Linked DNA regions of Drosophila melanogaster. The protein of the gene in region 1 interacts with the protein of each later gene in a pairwise test. Each region holds a gene or a part of one and is shown on either strand. Other genes may lie near its edges.

Region 1 (5,002 bases):
GCGATAGTCGAGTTCCCCAGCTATCGTTACTCAGGTGGAACGACATATTTCAATATGTCTTTTAGAATATCGGCAGAAATTGGAAACCAAAATAATAAAATGGAAACTAATTTAAAAATTATTCCAATGTAGGCGTGACAGTTTTGGGTGGTTTGTGGGCGGTAGAGTGTGCGTGCCAAAATTTTTTTTTGCGAATTGGTAGATATGTACAAGACTTATAAAACCATGAAACAAATTTTTTTAGTTTTGGGCGGTTTGTGGGCGTTAGAGTGGTAATGGTTAATCTCAACATTCTAGCTTTTATAGTTCCTGAAACTGAAGCTATAAACGCTTTATTCTACCTGTTACATACTTTCCAACGAATCAACTATACCCTTTTACTCTACAAGTATTTTTTATCTTTGTATTTTGTATTTCGATGTCGTAGAATTCAGAAATTTTTTGTATGCTCTTTTAATGCGGTATACATATACATATATATGTACAATATTCCTGATTAGGATCACTAGCCGAATTGATATGGTAAAGTCTGTCTGTCCGTAAGGGGGCTGTCACCTCGAAAACTTTAAAAGCTTTGAAGTTAAGATAATGTATGCATTTCTTTCCTTTTTTCTGATTTTCGAAACGTAACGTTTTAAACGTTTTAATCATTCGTTAATCAAACAGCAATTCATATAACAGAACGTTATATGAATTTTTGTTAAGTGTTCTAAATATTTTGGTAACACAGACAGGACGAAATGAATTTTCTATCTATTAAATAAATTGATATTTAAAGAAAGCAAATTAATTTAGAAATATATTGACAATTTCCAACTAATTTATCTCTGTTATGGAAAATTAGTTTAGGAAAAAAGTTAAAATAACAAAAGGAACCGCTATAGATTTTCTCCACTAGCGCCACTCAACTAAGGGGAGAACGAGGGAGAAACTTTGAAACTTGATTGTCATATCCATAAAATTGTTTAGAATAACAAGAGAGAATGCTATAGTCGAGTTGCCTGAATATCAGATACCCGTTAACCCAGATATTTTTCTGCGATACCAAAAGATGTTGGGGAATAAAATGAGAAAAAATTTCAACAATTTTCAAAAGTGGGGCGTGACCGGTTTGTCGGCTTAAGGGCGTCACAGTGGGTGTGGCAAACAGTTTTTTTTTGCACATCGATCGGAATTTACAAGACTAATAAAGATGTGAAAAAATATCAATATATTTTTCAAAAGAGTGCTTGTGGCATTTTTTCGTGGGCTTGTGGGCGTTGCAACATGGATCAACAAACTTGCGCTGCGTCTTTGTCTCTAGAATCTGCATGCTAAATCTCCGCCTTCCAGCTTTTATAGTTCCTGAGATCTCGACGTTCATACGGACAGACGGACATGGCTATATCGACTCGGCTATTGATCCGTTATACAGTCGGAAACGCTTCCTTCTGCGTGTTACATTCCTTTAAACGAATCTACGTTACTCTACGAGTAACGGGTATAATAACCAAATAAAAAAGTCTAAACATATTTAAAAAATTTGGTTGGCGTTCGAATGAGATGGTGGAGGTATTTTGGCAAAGCGATACAAAGTAGCAAAAAATCAAAAAATGCAATGAAAAATAATTATAACATTTCACAAAAGTGTGGGTGTGAACCTTTTGGGCGGTTTGCCGTCGTTAGGGTGTGCGAATATTTCAAAACTTGCCCACGTACCACTATGTGAAATTTTACCACTTTTTCTGCCCAAAATGAATAACTCCAGGACGTTGAAAGATATTCAGATTGGGTTACAATATATCCGTTCTGAAACCGCCCCTTATATTTGTTGTAGTTTGTAACTCTAGAACGGATAAAGATATTTAAATTTTTTTGCCATTATCTTTTATGATACCAAAAATTGTGGCCGTGGCACCGCCTCTTATATTTAATTAACTAATTTTGTATAGGTATTTCCCTAATTTCGTATGCTTTTTCTAGTCCAAGCAAAGAACAACTGATTTCGTGGTAGTGGTTGCATATTGAATTATTTTACAAAAAAGTAAACACAAACATAATAACAAATTAATGAATCAATTCACCAACAGGCATTTTTAACTCCCTTTTAGCTAAAATTACTCTGCATTTGAACAAGTAGGGTAAGGACCTAAAAACTATAATTTCTCCGAAAATCGCAAAGAATGCACTTTTTAATTACAACTATCTAAACAAGAATTAAATAAGCTACAAAATAAGGTATATTTCATGAATGAGTTTTGTTGCATTCGCTTTAAATCCCTTTTGAAAGTTAAGTTTTTATAACAAAAATATTTTAGTAAGACAACATACATTTTTACGGTATAAAGTCCCCTTAATACACGATTTTTTGATAGTTTTGATAGTCAAAAACACATAATACAAACCACATTGAATAAAACTAATTTTGCAGAATGAAAAAACGCTATGGCTCAAAAGATATATAAATATTTGTATCAAGGGAAAAACTTATCGTTGCAGACAAAATTTTTTTTGTGCTTGCAACACAGCTTAGAGAATGATTTCTTTGTTTATTTATTTCTGGTATGCAGGAATAAACATTGGCCAATATAACAGAGACAAAGCTAATGCATATGTGAGGGATACACACACACAGTGTTTGTTCTACTTTGAAACACAAAACCGCGTCAGTGTGACACACTTATTGCGCCTTAGCACACACACCCACAGAGGTATTAGGTAAGGGAGAGTGACCCAGGAACGGTAATAATTTCACTAACTTGTCGAAGTCTATAAACCGTAAATATACCGCTAGGACATCAACAACAGCTGTTGGCCTCTAGGTCTGCAATGATTGTGATGCTCTCCGGAAACACGCACATGTGTGTGTGTCTTGTCTACCTTGGCAGTTTAATAAATCGGTTTCAATGAATGATACTAATACTAGTTGCGAATTTAACTCGAATTATCTCTCGGCTAATAAATGCGCTTGGTTTCGTTTGATTGCCACTCCTGATTGTTTAGCGTTTGTTTTAAAACTTTTTTGACACTTACCCAATGTGACCGCATACTGGTACTGAATTAATATCGATAAATATACCAATCTATTTCTAGGGTTAGATTCTGGGTATTCCTTAAACTGTTAAATTGTGGGAATGTTGAACCCTCAACATGAAAAAGAAACAACAAAAGAAAAAATTAAATTTCAATAAAACATTTCTCTGTAAGTAAATTCTTAAAACAATTTAACACTACAGTTGCTGAAGAAAGGTGCGTTTCACTTTCTATTTCTTATAGCAAAAAATAAGTTCCGTTAACCTTGTTGAATTTTGTTATCACTTGGACTCGTGTCTAAAACATTTAAGAACAATCCATTGACTTAAATTATAATGTTTTCGTGTGTTTTCATAGTTATGTTTGTTCGAATACCACAATACCAAGAATACCTTTACCTCATATTATGTTATATTGTTTTAATGTATAATGTTATAGGGTAATCAGGAAAAATTCGTACCTAGTTACGCTACTAGGCATACAATTCCAGGCTTCCTAAAAATGCCTTTTTATTAAATATTACCTCTTTTACTTACTATTACATAGAACTTAAACGGTTCAAAGTATCTGTTAACAACCTTCACCTTAGCAACGTACAGAAAAATGTTTCAGTGGAAACAAGCTATAAAAAATATTGCTTCTGCTTGAATTCATTATTTACAGATTTAGTACCTTTAAAGTATGTTAAAACCATATATCTTTTTTATTTATAGTTTATAATCAGTGACCGCTGTACTACACATCCCAAATCTTGGGATTTTAATGGTAAGGCCCGCGATGTGATTGGCGATGACACTATCGCAGTTACATCCAATCAGTCGTCGATATCTAAGCAGCCGCATTGCAACTTCTAAAAGAATTCGGAAAAGCGGCATCCAAGCGTTGCTTTAGGTAATTGCGTAGCGAAAGTTCAACGGAAGAAAGGAACTTTCCCGGGCCAAGGAGCAGCGCAAGCAGGACTCAACGACAATTTGCAAAGACTATTAGCAATGTCTTCGGCCAGAGACCTTATCAAAGTCGACATAGTAAGTAAAACATTGGCTTTATTTGGATGGTAACAACATATTTTTACTTATCGATGACAAGGAATGGGGCATGGAGCGCCTGGTGCGAGCTCAGCAAGTGGTGGAGCTGCGGCCCTATGACATCGAGTCCTGGAGTGTCATGATCCGAGAGGCCCAAACGCGGCCAATCCACGAAGTACGCAGTCTTTACGAGTCGCTAGTTAATGTGTTTCCGACAACCGCTCGGTACTGGAAGCTATACATTGAGATGGAGATGCGCAGCCGGTACTATGAACGCGTGGAGAAACTTTTTCAACGCTGCCTAGTCAAGATTTTGAACATCGACCTCTGGAAGCTCTATCTTACCTACGTGAAGGAAACCAAGTCGGGTCTAAGTACTCACAAGTAACTGTTATACCTTATTTAAATAATTCACATAATTTGACATCTTAGAAACTATTATAATTTTAGTCAAAACTTGCAATGCAGCGAGCATATTGTTTTTTTTGATGCACAACATTTGTGTTATTCTGACACGCTTATTTTATTGGACTTATCTCTTTTCTCAGAGAAAAAATGGCCCAGGCTTATGATTTTGCACTGGAGAAAATCGGCATGGATCTACACTCGTTCAGCATCTGGCAGGATTACATATACTTTCTGCGGGGCGTTGAAGCAGTGGGCAACTATGCAGAGAACCAAAAGATCACAGCAGTGCGCCGCGTCTATCAAAAGGCTGTAGTCACACCTATCGTGGGCATCGAGCAGTTGTGGAAGGACTATATCGCATTCGAGCAAAACATAAACCCGATTATATCAGAGAAGATGAGTCTGGAGCGATCTAAGTGAGTGTTATACGCAGAGTTTGCTAAATGTTCTTTCTAAATTCCAACTTAAAACCAGGGATTACATGAACGCTCGTCGTGTTGCCAAAGAGTTGGAATACCACACAAAGGGTCTCAATCGCAATCTGCCAGCCGTCCCAC
Region 2 (7,556 bases), 6.5 Mb from region 1:
CGTTTCCACTCATCTCATCCATTGCAATGCGAATGAAAACCTTTTCATCATATGTATGTATGTATGTAATTATATACGTTACCTTAATTTTTTTGATACATGTATTTTTCAACATCTACTTCCTGCCCTCGAATGCTTTAAAAACTTTACACGAAAAAGAAAACAATTTAATATATATTATAAACAAAAAAGAAATGGACAAAGAAAAGCAAAAACAAAAAAAAAACAAGAAAAACCAAGTGAAGAAAAAACCAAAAAACAATTAAAACTTTACCTTTTGGATAAATCAATTTAAATGCATATTTTATATATATTTAAACATTTATTTATATATAACATGTATGATAAATATAAGTTGGAAAAACTTTGTCAAAGCAAAAAGTTTATATACTTATATTAAAGAAAAACAAAAAACAAATGGATGGAAGATGGGAAAGGAAAACCAAAAACCAAATAAATAATATTAAAAATGCAACATAACAAATTAACAAACAAGAAAACATCACATCTAGATAAATCTCTTAAAAATTTTCAATTTTATTATTAAACCGAAACCAAAGTTAATGGATAAACAAATTTATAAACTGTATTGCAAGGGGCAGCTGGCTGGCAAAAATTACATAAAATTTGCGCCGTTGTGACAAAAATTGTACGCAATCCAAGGAAGATAACAAATTAATTTACAAGATAAAGATGATGATAATGGAGATGTAGACGATGGAGAATAAATGAAGGCAACAACAAAATGCAGACAACAAGTTTTAACCTTAAGTGAATGCAAAACAAAATGAAGAAACCCAATGAAAACAAAATGATTATCAATGTTATTAACATAATTAATATTAACAAAAACGAAAAAAAAAGAACAAGCAAAAAAAAAAAACAAAAACAACCAAAAAAGAAATACAAAAACATTAAAAAAAATATACAAGTACCTATCCTGAGAATAAAATGCGCGCACATTTATTATTTCCTCTAAAAGTTCGTTTGAGTCGATTTCGCCACCGGGGAATTTCAGAATAAGCATATACATATTTAATCCCGGGAAGCATATCCACCAGTAGAAGGCTGGAGAAGTGGTGGACTGAGTGAGTAATGTCCAGAATTTGCTCGAAAATTAAGGAAGAGGTAAGTGTAAGTGGGGCGAAACCGACAGGTGGCCAAGAATTTCAATAATGAGGTTTTTACCTATATTGATAAATTCAGCATCTGGGCTCTCATATTCTCTAATTTTAATTCATTTTATAATGTTTAGTTAACTACGTTTAAAGAATAATTAAGATGAACGGCTTAATTGATAGCTTAAGCTTTTTTAAAATAAAATGTTTTCCAGTTGACATTTTGAATATGTACCAAGTCCAATTGGATATAATTATCAAAGTTTAGCACCTTGTGGTACATTGCTGTGCGGAATTTGTTCAGATTTTAATTTTGCGCCACCATCTACATCTTTAAAGTGAATATATTGTTAGAAAGGAGATAAAAGTAAGCGTATTCATTTAGAATATTAAATATACAGAGAAAGATATAATTTTGCACGTACCTTACTCGACTACTTCCATGACTTCCATTCCAGGTGCGAGTCTCGACTAGAGTACACATTCCAGCGGCCGTGTAGTAAGTTTGAGCTTTTGAGCCACGGCCACACTGCAGAAAATTCCATTAAAAAAAGCGAGAAAAAAAACGTAGCGAAAGAGAGAAATTACGACGTCTGCAGGGCCGAAGCGAAAAAAGTAGCAAATACTGAAACAGAGTGACTATGATTGTTGTTAAGTGAAAGCAGCACTTTTGGAAAACGGCTAGGCCAGCGGCGCAGGCCACGGAAGAAAGCAGCGGAGTCAGCGTTCCAAAATCAAAGCAAAGCCAGCGGAAAGTAAAGGAAAGCGAATCAAAGCTGGAAGGCGATAAAGCGGCTCACCAGGCACTCCAACAACAACAGCAACAATAGCAACAACAGTAGGAGCAGCAGCAACAACCACACAGCAGCAGCAGCAGCAGCCAGGGAAAGTACCAGAGTGTGAGTGAGTGAGTGAGCGAGTGTGCGTGTGCGTGTGTGTGGGTAGTGGAAACAGAACTGAGCCGTGAGAGAGCGAGAGCGGGAGAGCGAGAGCGGGAGAGCGAGCTAGTGGAAGTGGGAGCGGGAGAGGAGCAGTCCGATTCCGAATCCCGGAATAGAAACCAGGAAAAAGGAAACGGGAAGCAGTAGCCGTAGAAGCAGAGCCAAAAACCGAAACAGAAACAGAAGTCTCAACCATGTCTTCGAATAACCAGAGCAGCAGCGTTGCCCAGGCGGCAACAAGTGCCCGCACCGTCAGTGCCGGATCGGCGGAAGCCACAGATGCCAATAGTACCGCCTCGAACAACAACAATAATAGCAGCAGTACCGCTGCAGCGGGCAACAACAGCGACAACAGCAGTCCCACCACTGGAACGGGCACAGGAGCGAGCACTGGAAAGCTGCACGGCGGCCACACGGCAGTAAACACCAAGGAACGGGTGGTGGACAGCGTTCCCTTCCCGCCCAGCCACAAGCTGACCTTGGCGGAGGTGTTCGACCAACGCACCGGCAAGCCCAACCATGAGCTGCTCAAGCAGCACTTCATTCTTGAGGGCAGAATCGAGGAGGCGCCCGCCCTGAAAATCATCCAGGACGGAGCCGCCCTGCTGCGTCAGGAGAAGACGATGATCGATATTGAGGCGCCGGTGACGGTGTGCGGTGATATCCACGGCCAGTTCTACGACCTGATGAAGCTGTTCGAAGTGGGCGGCTCGCCCGCGAGCACCAAGTATCTGTTCCTGGGCGACTACGTCGATCGGGGCTACTTCAGCATCGAGTGCGTCCTGTATTTGTGGTCGCTAAAGATCACCTATCCGCAGACGCTGTTCCTGCTGCGCGGCAACCACGAGTGCCGGCACTTAACCGAGTACTTCACCTTCAAGCAGGAGTGCAAGATCAAGTACTCGGAGCGCGTGTACGACGCCTGCATGGACGCATTCGACTGCCTGCCGCTGGCGGCGCTAATGAACCAGCAGTTCCTCTGCGTGCACGGCGGTCTGTCGCCGGAGATACACGAGCTGGAGGACATCCGGCGGCTCGACCGCTTCAAGGAGCCGCCCGCCTTTGGCCCCATGTGCGACCTGCTGTGGTCCGATCCCCTGGAGGACTTTGGCAACGAGAAGAACTCGGACTTCTACACGCACAACTCCGTGCGCGGATGCTCGTACTTCTACAGCTACGCCGCCTGCTGCGACTTCCTGCAGAACAACAACCTGCTGTCGATCATCCGGGCGCACGAGGCGCAGGACGCCGGCTACCGCATGTACCGCAAAAGCCAGACCACCGGCTTCCCCTCGCTGATCACCATCTTCTCGGCGCCCAACTATCTCGACGTGTACAACAACAAGGCGGCGGTGCTGAAGTACGAGAACAACGTGATGAACATCCGGCAATTCAACTGCTCGCCGCACCCGTACTGGCTGCCCAACTTCATGGACGTGTTCACCTGGTCGCTACCCTTCGTGGGCGAGAAGGTCACCGAGATGTTGGTGAACGTGCTGAACATCTGCTCCGACGACGAGCTCATGACCGAGGAGAGCGAGGAGCCGCTCTCCGACGACGAGGCGGCGCTGCGCAAGGAGGTGATACGCAACAAGATCCGTGCCATTGGCAAGATGGCGCGCGTCTTCTCCGTGCTGCGCGAGGAGTCCGAGTCGGTGCTGCAGCTGAAGGGCCTGACGCCCACGGGCGCCCTGCCCCTCGGCGCCCTCTCCGGCGGCAAGCAGTCGCTCAAGAACGCCATGCAGGGCTTCTCGCCCAACCACAAGATTACCTCGTTCGCGGAGGCCAAGGGCCTGGATGCCGTCAACGAACGGATGCCGCCGCGGCGGGATCAGCCGCCCACGCCCAGCGAGGATCCGAATCAGCACAGTCAGCAGGGCGGCAAAAATGGGGCTGGACATGGGTAAGCTGTGCCATCTAGTGCGGCTGCAGGACGAGGATGCAGATGCAGATGCGGCACGGTGGAGTCTGGCGAGGTCTGAATTGGTCTGAAGGAGGGGCTGAGTGGAGCGGAGCGGAGGCAACACAAAGAACACCAACCGAACGGAACCTTAATTAAACTTAATGTGGCAGAGCAACAACTTAAATACTAAAACCAATTCTAATTCTAAGTAATTGTCATAACCCCCTGCATTTCGTATGTGATCCCGCACCAGCTCCATGCCCATGTCTATGTCCATGGCCCAGAGCCTCCAAACCGACGGCACGGAGCAGAGATTTGTTTTTACGCAGGCGCGCGCACATTGGATATTAAAATTATGTGTGGCATACTTTGGCGCGCCGGCCCCCAAAACGGAAAATTCCCTTTCGCGATAGAAGAAAACCAACCCATAACGTAACCCATAACCTAGCTTAAGTTGTAATGTATAAACTATAAACTGAAATGGGCAAATTTTAAAATGGAAAATGAACAAAACGGAAAGAGCTAATTGAAATCCCTCCCCCTGCGATAATGCGATAATTTAAGATGAAAAACCCCAGCAGAATCCCCATAATCCCCAGAGGCAAGAAACACTAATCCAATTGAAGAGATATGGGAAACAAAATCCAGCGCTAATCTGTTCCAAACATTTAGCAGCGGCAAAAAAGAAGCGTACATATATGTATACATATGATTATTTAGAAATATCGAGGCGCAGTGCCGAGATGCAACCGAAAGTGTAATGAAATTTGAAATGAGCAAAGGTCATTTTTTGTAATAATCGTAATCCTTGAACTCTAGAAATGTAATCTTGCATAGAAGAAACGAATGAAACAAGCAAACAAATTCGAAACCATTTGCAATATGTGCCGCAATAGTCCATAAATGTTCCTTATACGAATTAAACATTGAAAGTGAAATCAGAGTTTATTTTTTTTTTTTTAAATATATACTTAAATATATGTATATGTATTATTGTTGCATAATCTAACTTTTGACTTAATATGTTACATTTTACGTGTACGACTGTGTGTGTATAACTAACTATTTGCGTTTTATCAGTAGCTTGGCGAACAAAAAACAAAAAACAAAAAAAAACCAACCAAATGGCAAAAGCAAAAGCAAAGAAAAAGCAGCAAAAATCCATAAGAGATCACACAAGATGATAATCGTTGTTTGAGGATCACAGTCTAGCTAATTAATAAATTGATGAATAGGATCGATCGATTTCCATTGATGTGAATGCATTTTGAACACTGAAAGAACGGATCGTTTACCATTTAAATAGCAAATCAAATATTTAACTATTAAATTACTGTGTAAACCTAATAACGTATAATATATTTCTGCGTGTAAATTGAACTAAACGATTAATTAATTAACTAATTTAGCGAATCGATTTTTGTTGAGAGAGAAAGAGCGCTAGCACACACACACACACAAACACAAAACTTATTTTCCTTGACTTAGTATGAGCTAATTGCAATGAGATTAAGCGAATGAGATGTATTTAAGTAAGTATAAGGCATGGCACACACATGAGAAACGGATGAGTTTCGGCGTTTCAGATCAATTCAATGATAATGATGGCAATCAAGTTCTCAATTTGCGCCTACACCTCTTCCCAAAAACCGATGATATCAGCTTCTCCTTTATCACTAATCACAACCACTATCAATGCGAAATCAAAAGCTATAAGATATACCACATACATACTCACGCAAGAAATGCCTTCATCGAGATCATATTATCCACGAACCAAGAATATTAACGCTGTACTTTTGCTTCGACTCTTCAACCACCAATAATTGCATTGAACTCTAATCTAAATATTTATACAGATATATATATATATTATATACCGAGTTGGCATTGGAAAACAGTTAGTTTTAGTGATCTATGCACGTATCGTAACAATACCAAGATTAATTAAATCGTAGCTAAAAGAAACAAATCAAGGATGAGGCGGCAGTCGCAGAGTTTCCCTCTTAGCTTTTATAAAAAAAAAAAAGATGGAGAAATGGAAACAACTTACTCAACTAATTGAGAGATACACCATATTTATATAGATATATATATAGCGTTTTTTTTTTTTGTTAATCCTCCACCACAACTATATAATTATTGAAAGTTGATGAAAGCTGTTGGGCCGTTTAAGTTTCAGAGTTTCTGTTCTATATGTGGTTAAAATTGTTAATGTTGTTACACCGCAAATGCATACTTAGTTAGTTAGTCGAGTGAAATGGGAGTTCCCCCAAATCACATTTAATTGCAATAGTCTCGAGTATTGAACGCCAAGAACACCAATTCCATAGAATGATTGTATACACTCAGAAAATCAATCGGCATTTATGTTCGAAAATCGCCGCAAATATTTTCAACAAGTATGGGTTTTTACGGATTTAAAATAATGAAATTGAAAACTAAATTCCATATTGTTAGGCTATAAACAAATGTTTCTATTGATGGACAACATTTCAGGTATAATTTTTGAAAAACAACAAATATTTATTTCAATTGTTAATACCAAAATACGCATAGGTCAACAATTAAGTTTTAATTTTTTTTTTTTAATATAGTTTAATTATCAAAGAACTATACATTTTAAGCCATTAAACGTAGGCAATATTCAGATAATTTTCTGAAATAAATTAATTGTAAATTTTGGATTCTCTTAGGGCGATTTGCATTCCGAGTGTATCAAGAGCCATGGTAAATAATAAAGCTAAGAAGTATTAATAATTCTACACTATGTATGACTAACAATACATTTGCTTAGTTCCCTCGATAAAGAAAGTACATAACTATTGCATGAGGCATAGGCAAAACTTCCTGGCACATAGTAAAAGTAAATAATTGAATAGAACGGCTGAGGAGGAGATGAGTAGATTTTGATAATATGTACGTCAAGACCATGCCAACATACTTATGGGAACTATTTAAAAAGCATTAAAACGTTCAATATAACACATAATACCCAGACAAAAGCAGAATCAAAAAATGCGGGAACGAGACGGCTGCATGGTATATACATACATATATAAGACATTTCGCCTCTTAAAGCAATTATAAAGATAACAAATGAGTAACGTTTATTATATTATTAAATTATACATACATATACATACTATATAAACGGAATAAAATAAATCAGCAACAAACTTTCCATTTTATGGCGTTCGATCACTTAACTTTTTATCCTTGGGAGCAGTATTGTCAAGTTATCATTTTTCTTCTTAATTGCTTAAATTACAATTCTTTAAATACATGCATGTATTCAATGATGGCGCCAAATTTTGAACCTGTTTTAAGTCTTAATTCAAGAATATTTTTCCAAGTATGAGAGTGAACGAGAGGCAAGAGCGCAAACGAAAAATACCAGAAATCAATGTGAGTATTTTGAAATTTCAGCAATTGCCGAATTGGTTTTTCAAATAGATGTGATTAGTTGTTAAATTGCCAAATCTTTAATCCAATAATTTAATTAATAAAGTCTTAATTGAATTGAAATTGTTTTGTGTAAATCCTGTGCAAGTAACATATATTACTAATAAACTTGTATTTTTTAATCTTTTT
Region 3 (3,962 bases), on another chromosome or scaffold:
TAAAAAAACCACCCGAGGCCTGCTGCGCAAGAGCCGTATGGGTGAGTGGACGCACAGTCAACGATCGGCCGCAGGTCATTTTTTGTATGCGGGCTGCAGTTCTCTGGTCATTTTTTGTACGCCTAAAATTTGTATGGGTGGAAGCGTGACGGGTATAAGAAATGAAGGGTAAAAGGGAATACCCAAGAAAATTTTTGTGCTCATGTCTTTGCTCTTTGATGGACTCAATGGGTGCCTCCCATTTCAAACACATAAAGTAATTGCAATTAAAGACGGCATTTGTTGATTTTTACGTTTTTTAATGTCTCAATCTAAATAATAAAAACATAGTGGGCTTAAAAAGTATCTATTAAATATAAGGACTTAATGTTGTTGGATCAGGTAGTAAGTCATCGACGTCTACCTGTTCCCCATAGATAGCGCCGATTTGTAGGAAAAACTTCACCAAATTTTTAAATCCGGCTCCGGTTACTGCAGAAAACGGCCGACAATCTTGGACAACCCATTGGGTGCATTTTTCAATAGCTACTTTCTTGTCGTTTTCCGAAACAATTTTTAATTCCGTTGGTCGTCTTAATGTTAGACAACATTTATGGCGGGATAAATTGGAGGTGTTTTTGTGTAAAAATTTGAGCACTTTCTGGCATTGCCTGCAGAACAGCCATCCGTCCAGAACAGTTTCATCTTCCTTTAAAATGTCACATAAAATGCTCCAAATAACACTTTTTCCTTTATGTTTATTGGCAACTGAGTATGTTCCATTGTTAATTTTATTTTTAACGAAATCAGCCGCTTCTGCCATTATTGTGACCTTTTCCTTTGGCTTCCAAATAATACTGAATCCTAACAAGCTAGTAATTGCATCGTAAAAAACAAAAAAGGGGCAATTAACAGCCGAGACACTGGACCAAAGACACAAGAACTCAACAATCATTATGTATGGCGCCATTTGACTCGACTACCTACGAGACCACTCGAGTATTTTTGGAAACACCCGAGTATTTTTGGAAACACCCATGTGTTTAACGGTATACCCACAAGTGTTTTTCTCACTCATCCCTTTTTAGGCACTGTGTGAGCGGCACCCGCGACGCAAAACACCGTATTGATTCGGGTGCGCACACAACGGGGTGTCTTGTCTGCATGTTCAGATTTATACTGTGTGTTTGTAAGTACCCGCGATGTGCGTGGCGAGTAGCACCCGCACACAAAATTGTAGGGTGTGAGTCGAGTGGTAAAAAAGTGCCACCCTTGCAGTTCTCTGGTTGAAACTGCAACTTTTTTACCTTTTCCAGTTGTTTTTAGCCTCTCTTGACTGCCAATTAGCGCCTGGCTTTCTGTATTTCAACGGGAATTGTGCGCGGCTTGTGTTTTTCGCTCAGTCTGCTCCGCAACTTCGACCGATAAAAGCGGCCGGAAAAACTTCCGCTTCATTTTGTTAGTTTCGTTGCGGGAGATTGGGAAAAGTGCTAACGGGTGCTTCACTATCATTATCAGACATTAGATAAAATCATGGTAAGAGGCTTTTAAAAATAATTAGTGGCACATAGATACTTTCTGTGCAATGCCGTACGAAAAATATATGAAAAACGTGACCATGTGGCAGTTCAGTCACCGCGACCTCGAGCCCACGTTGTTCGTTTTAATCCTTGCTGAAACCACAACAAACTAAATCGATACTAGTCGGTGGATCTACGCACTTTACCGGTTTGCTCGTACTATGTAATTTATGCGCCAAAAATAGGAGAACTGAACGTAAATGATAGCAAATGAGGCAAAACCAGTTGGCCACCAACGAATCGAAAGTGTTGGGTGCAAGAAACCAGTTCTTGATACCATTCCTGTTATCGCGGCTCCACCTTCTTACCTGTTGACTGAGTTTTACCTTCAGTTTTGCCTCCATCGGCGTCACTTGCTGACGTGTGAAGTCCACTGCGAAAATGGTGCAACTTACGGTAGTCGCAATCACTAAAACTCAGTCCATAGAAAGCATCCCTAATCAGCAAATCACTCATAAATCTAGTACATATGTACAATTATCTCCCATCTTGATACTATTTTAAAGATACTATATACTTAAACTCTATACTTTGAATTCTACAGGAGGAGACATATCTGTACGATCCTAATCTGCTGCTAAAGCTGGACTTTCATCGCAGTCCCGCCAACTTTAAGCCCTTCATATCGGCGGCCAATCCCGGCGAGCCCTGGATGAAAGTGCGTCCTCTCAAGGACACCGACTACGATCGTGGATTCCTGCAGCTGCTCTCGCAACTCACCCATGTCGGCAATGTGAATCGTACGCAGTTCTTGAGTGAGTCGTGACTTTCAGTTAGGAATGTAGTATTTGTACTGACCACCTCCATCTTTTCTAGCCCGCTTTTCGCAGATGAAAGCCAGTGGGGACTACTTTGTCACCGTCATTGAGGACACTCGCAAGAATGAGATTATTGGAGCTGCATCCTTGGTGATCGAGCGCAAGTTCATCCATAACTGTGCTGTGGTAAGTGAAGAAGATGAGAAAAGGATCCATGATTTAGCTTAACTTATGATTCATTCTTCAGCGTGGCCGTCTAGAGGATGTGGTGGTCAATGACACGTATCGCGGGAAGCAACTGGGAAAACTGTAAGCGTTGTATATCATTTTCCCAACAAGAAACATTAATCCGCGGACTTACTATTCAGGATCGTGGTCACCGTATCGCTGCTGGCCGAGGAACTGGGCTGCTACAAAATGTCGCTGGACTGCAAGGACAAGCTGATCAAGTTCTATGAGTCGCTGGGCTATGTGGCCATTCCCGGAAACTCCAACTCCATGACGATTCGCTACGATGAGGGGCCAACGCTCAAGCGGAATGCTACCTCAGCCGGCTCCAGTGGAACAGTGGGCGACTCCTGCCAAACTGTGAGCCTCGATTTTGCCTCTTGACAATTAGCCGCCAACGCTGCTCCAAAGTCCAAGCTTTGAGTGGGAGCACCCCATCTCAAAGTTACAAATGCGCGAAGCGCAATGCAACAAAACTAAAATTGGATTCTAAGAAAACATTAAATGCATATAGGCATTGCCAAAATTCCATTGCGCTGAGGGCATGATGGATTTTTGGACAGCGCTGGCTGGCGGTGGTGTCCTTGTGGACGGACGTGCTTGTCCACCCACCCGCGAGGACATACAATTAGATATTTAGTTAAAGACAACCGCAACATATGTTGCTCTCTGTTTTTAATCCCTACAGAACTCTCAATTTTATAATTTTTTCTCCCCTTTCTGCTACTGAATGTGCGGCTCGACCTCTCAACTCCAAGGTGGTTGTAATATTACCTTTTAAGAGCACCTTCATCAAGTAGCCCTAAGATTGAAACACTCGCATAACTGTTAAACTGTTATTAACACTAATCAACAATAGCGATTAAAACCCAATACGAATCTTTCAAAAACCTTTAATGATTGAAGAAATTCAATAAAGTGGACACTTTTTTCAAAAGCCCAGAATGTTTATAAACTTACTTGCATCAACAGACAACAGTTTTATTTTCCAATATTTCAAAAAAAGTTAAGTAACAAACATTTGTGCTATTTAAAGTTGCAGAAGATCGATTAAACCTGTCTGTTAATTTACTTCACAAACGTTGAGCTTATTTTACAAGTTTACATCTTCGAGCTACATTTATATAAAAATCTGTTTAGTGTCTAGTGCAAGGTACTTATTGGGCTTAAGTCTTCTCTATTTACAAGGCTCTCAAATGGGGGGCAAAAGCTGGGCAAACCCAGCCTCCTCCGCGTCTCATGAGTACGCGCAAAGGTGTCCGCACTTGGGGCACTTGGAGTGTTTGGCAAAGTACTTCTGCAGGTGCTCTATGTGACCGCCGTGGGAGCATCCTTGGCACCAGGCGTAGACTCCCCGGACGATCAGACCGCAGACGCAGCACTTGGCGGACTGCATGGACTTGCACTTGTCGCAGTA

Evidence for each region. The genes of interacting proteins can lie anywhere in the genome.
Region 2: the proteins of CG17162 (region 1) and Pp2B-14D interact in a two-hybrid assay, tested with the Drosophila melanogaster proteins (one large-scale study listed by BioGRID).
Region 3: the proteins of CG17162 (region 1) and Gnpnat interact in a two-hybrid assay, tested with the Drosophila melanogaster proteins (one large-scale study listed by BioGRID).

The regions. Positions count from the first base shown.
Region 1 is NC_004354.4:23,093,695-23,098,696, forward strand, and holds the start of CG17162 (uncharacterized protein), read right to left. Parts: upstream 3,041-5,002; 5' UTR 2,739-3,040; intron 1-2,738. Other genes in the region: su(f) (suppressor of forked), read left to right, coding at 4,002-4,037, 4,099-4,421, 4,586-4,861, 4,920-5,002.
Region 2 is NC_004354.4:16,554,105-16,561,660, reverse strand, and holds Pp2B-14D (protein phosphatase 2B at 14D), read left to right. Parts: upstream 1-1,644; 5' UTR 1,645-2,253; coding exon 2,254-3,966; 3' UTR 3,967-7,034; downstream 7,035-7,556. UniProt on the Drosophila melanogaster protein: Calcium-dependent, calmodulin-stimulated protein phosphatase. This subunit may have a role in the calmodulin activation of calcineurin.
Region 3 is NT_033777.3:29,738,465-29,742,426, forward strand, and holds Gnpnat (Glucosamine-phosphate N-acetyltransferase), read left to right. Parts: upstream 1-1,886; 5' UTR 1,887-1,940; coding exon 1,941-1,955; intron 1,956-2,103; coding exon 2,104-2,314; intron 2,315-2,375; coding exon 2,376-2,503; intron 2,504-2,564; coding exon 2,565-2,626; intron 2,627-2,685; coding exon 2,686-2,905; coding exon of another isoform or gene 2,906-2,968; exon of another isoform or gene 2,969-3,233; coding exon 3,234-3,275; 3' UTR 3,276-3,303; coding exon of another isoform or gene 3,304-3,345; 3' UTR 3,346-3,440; downstream 3,441-3,962. Other genes in the region: Wdr24 (WD repeat domain 24), read right to left, coding at 3,783-3,962.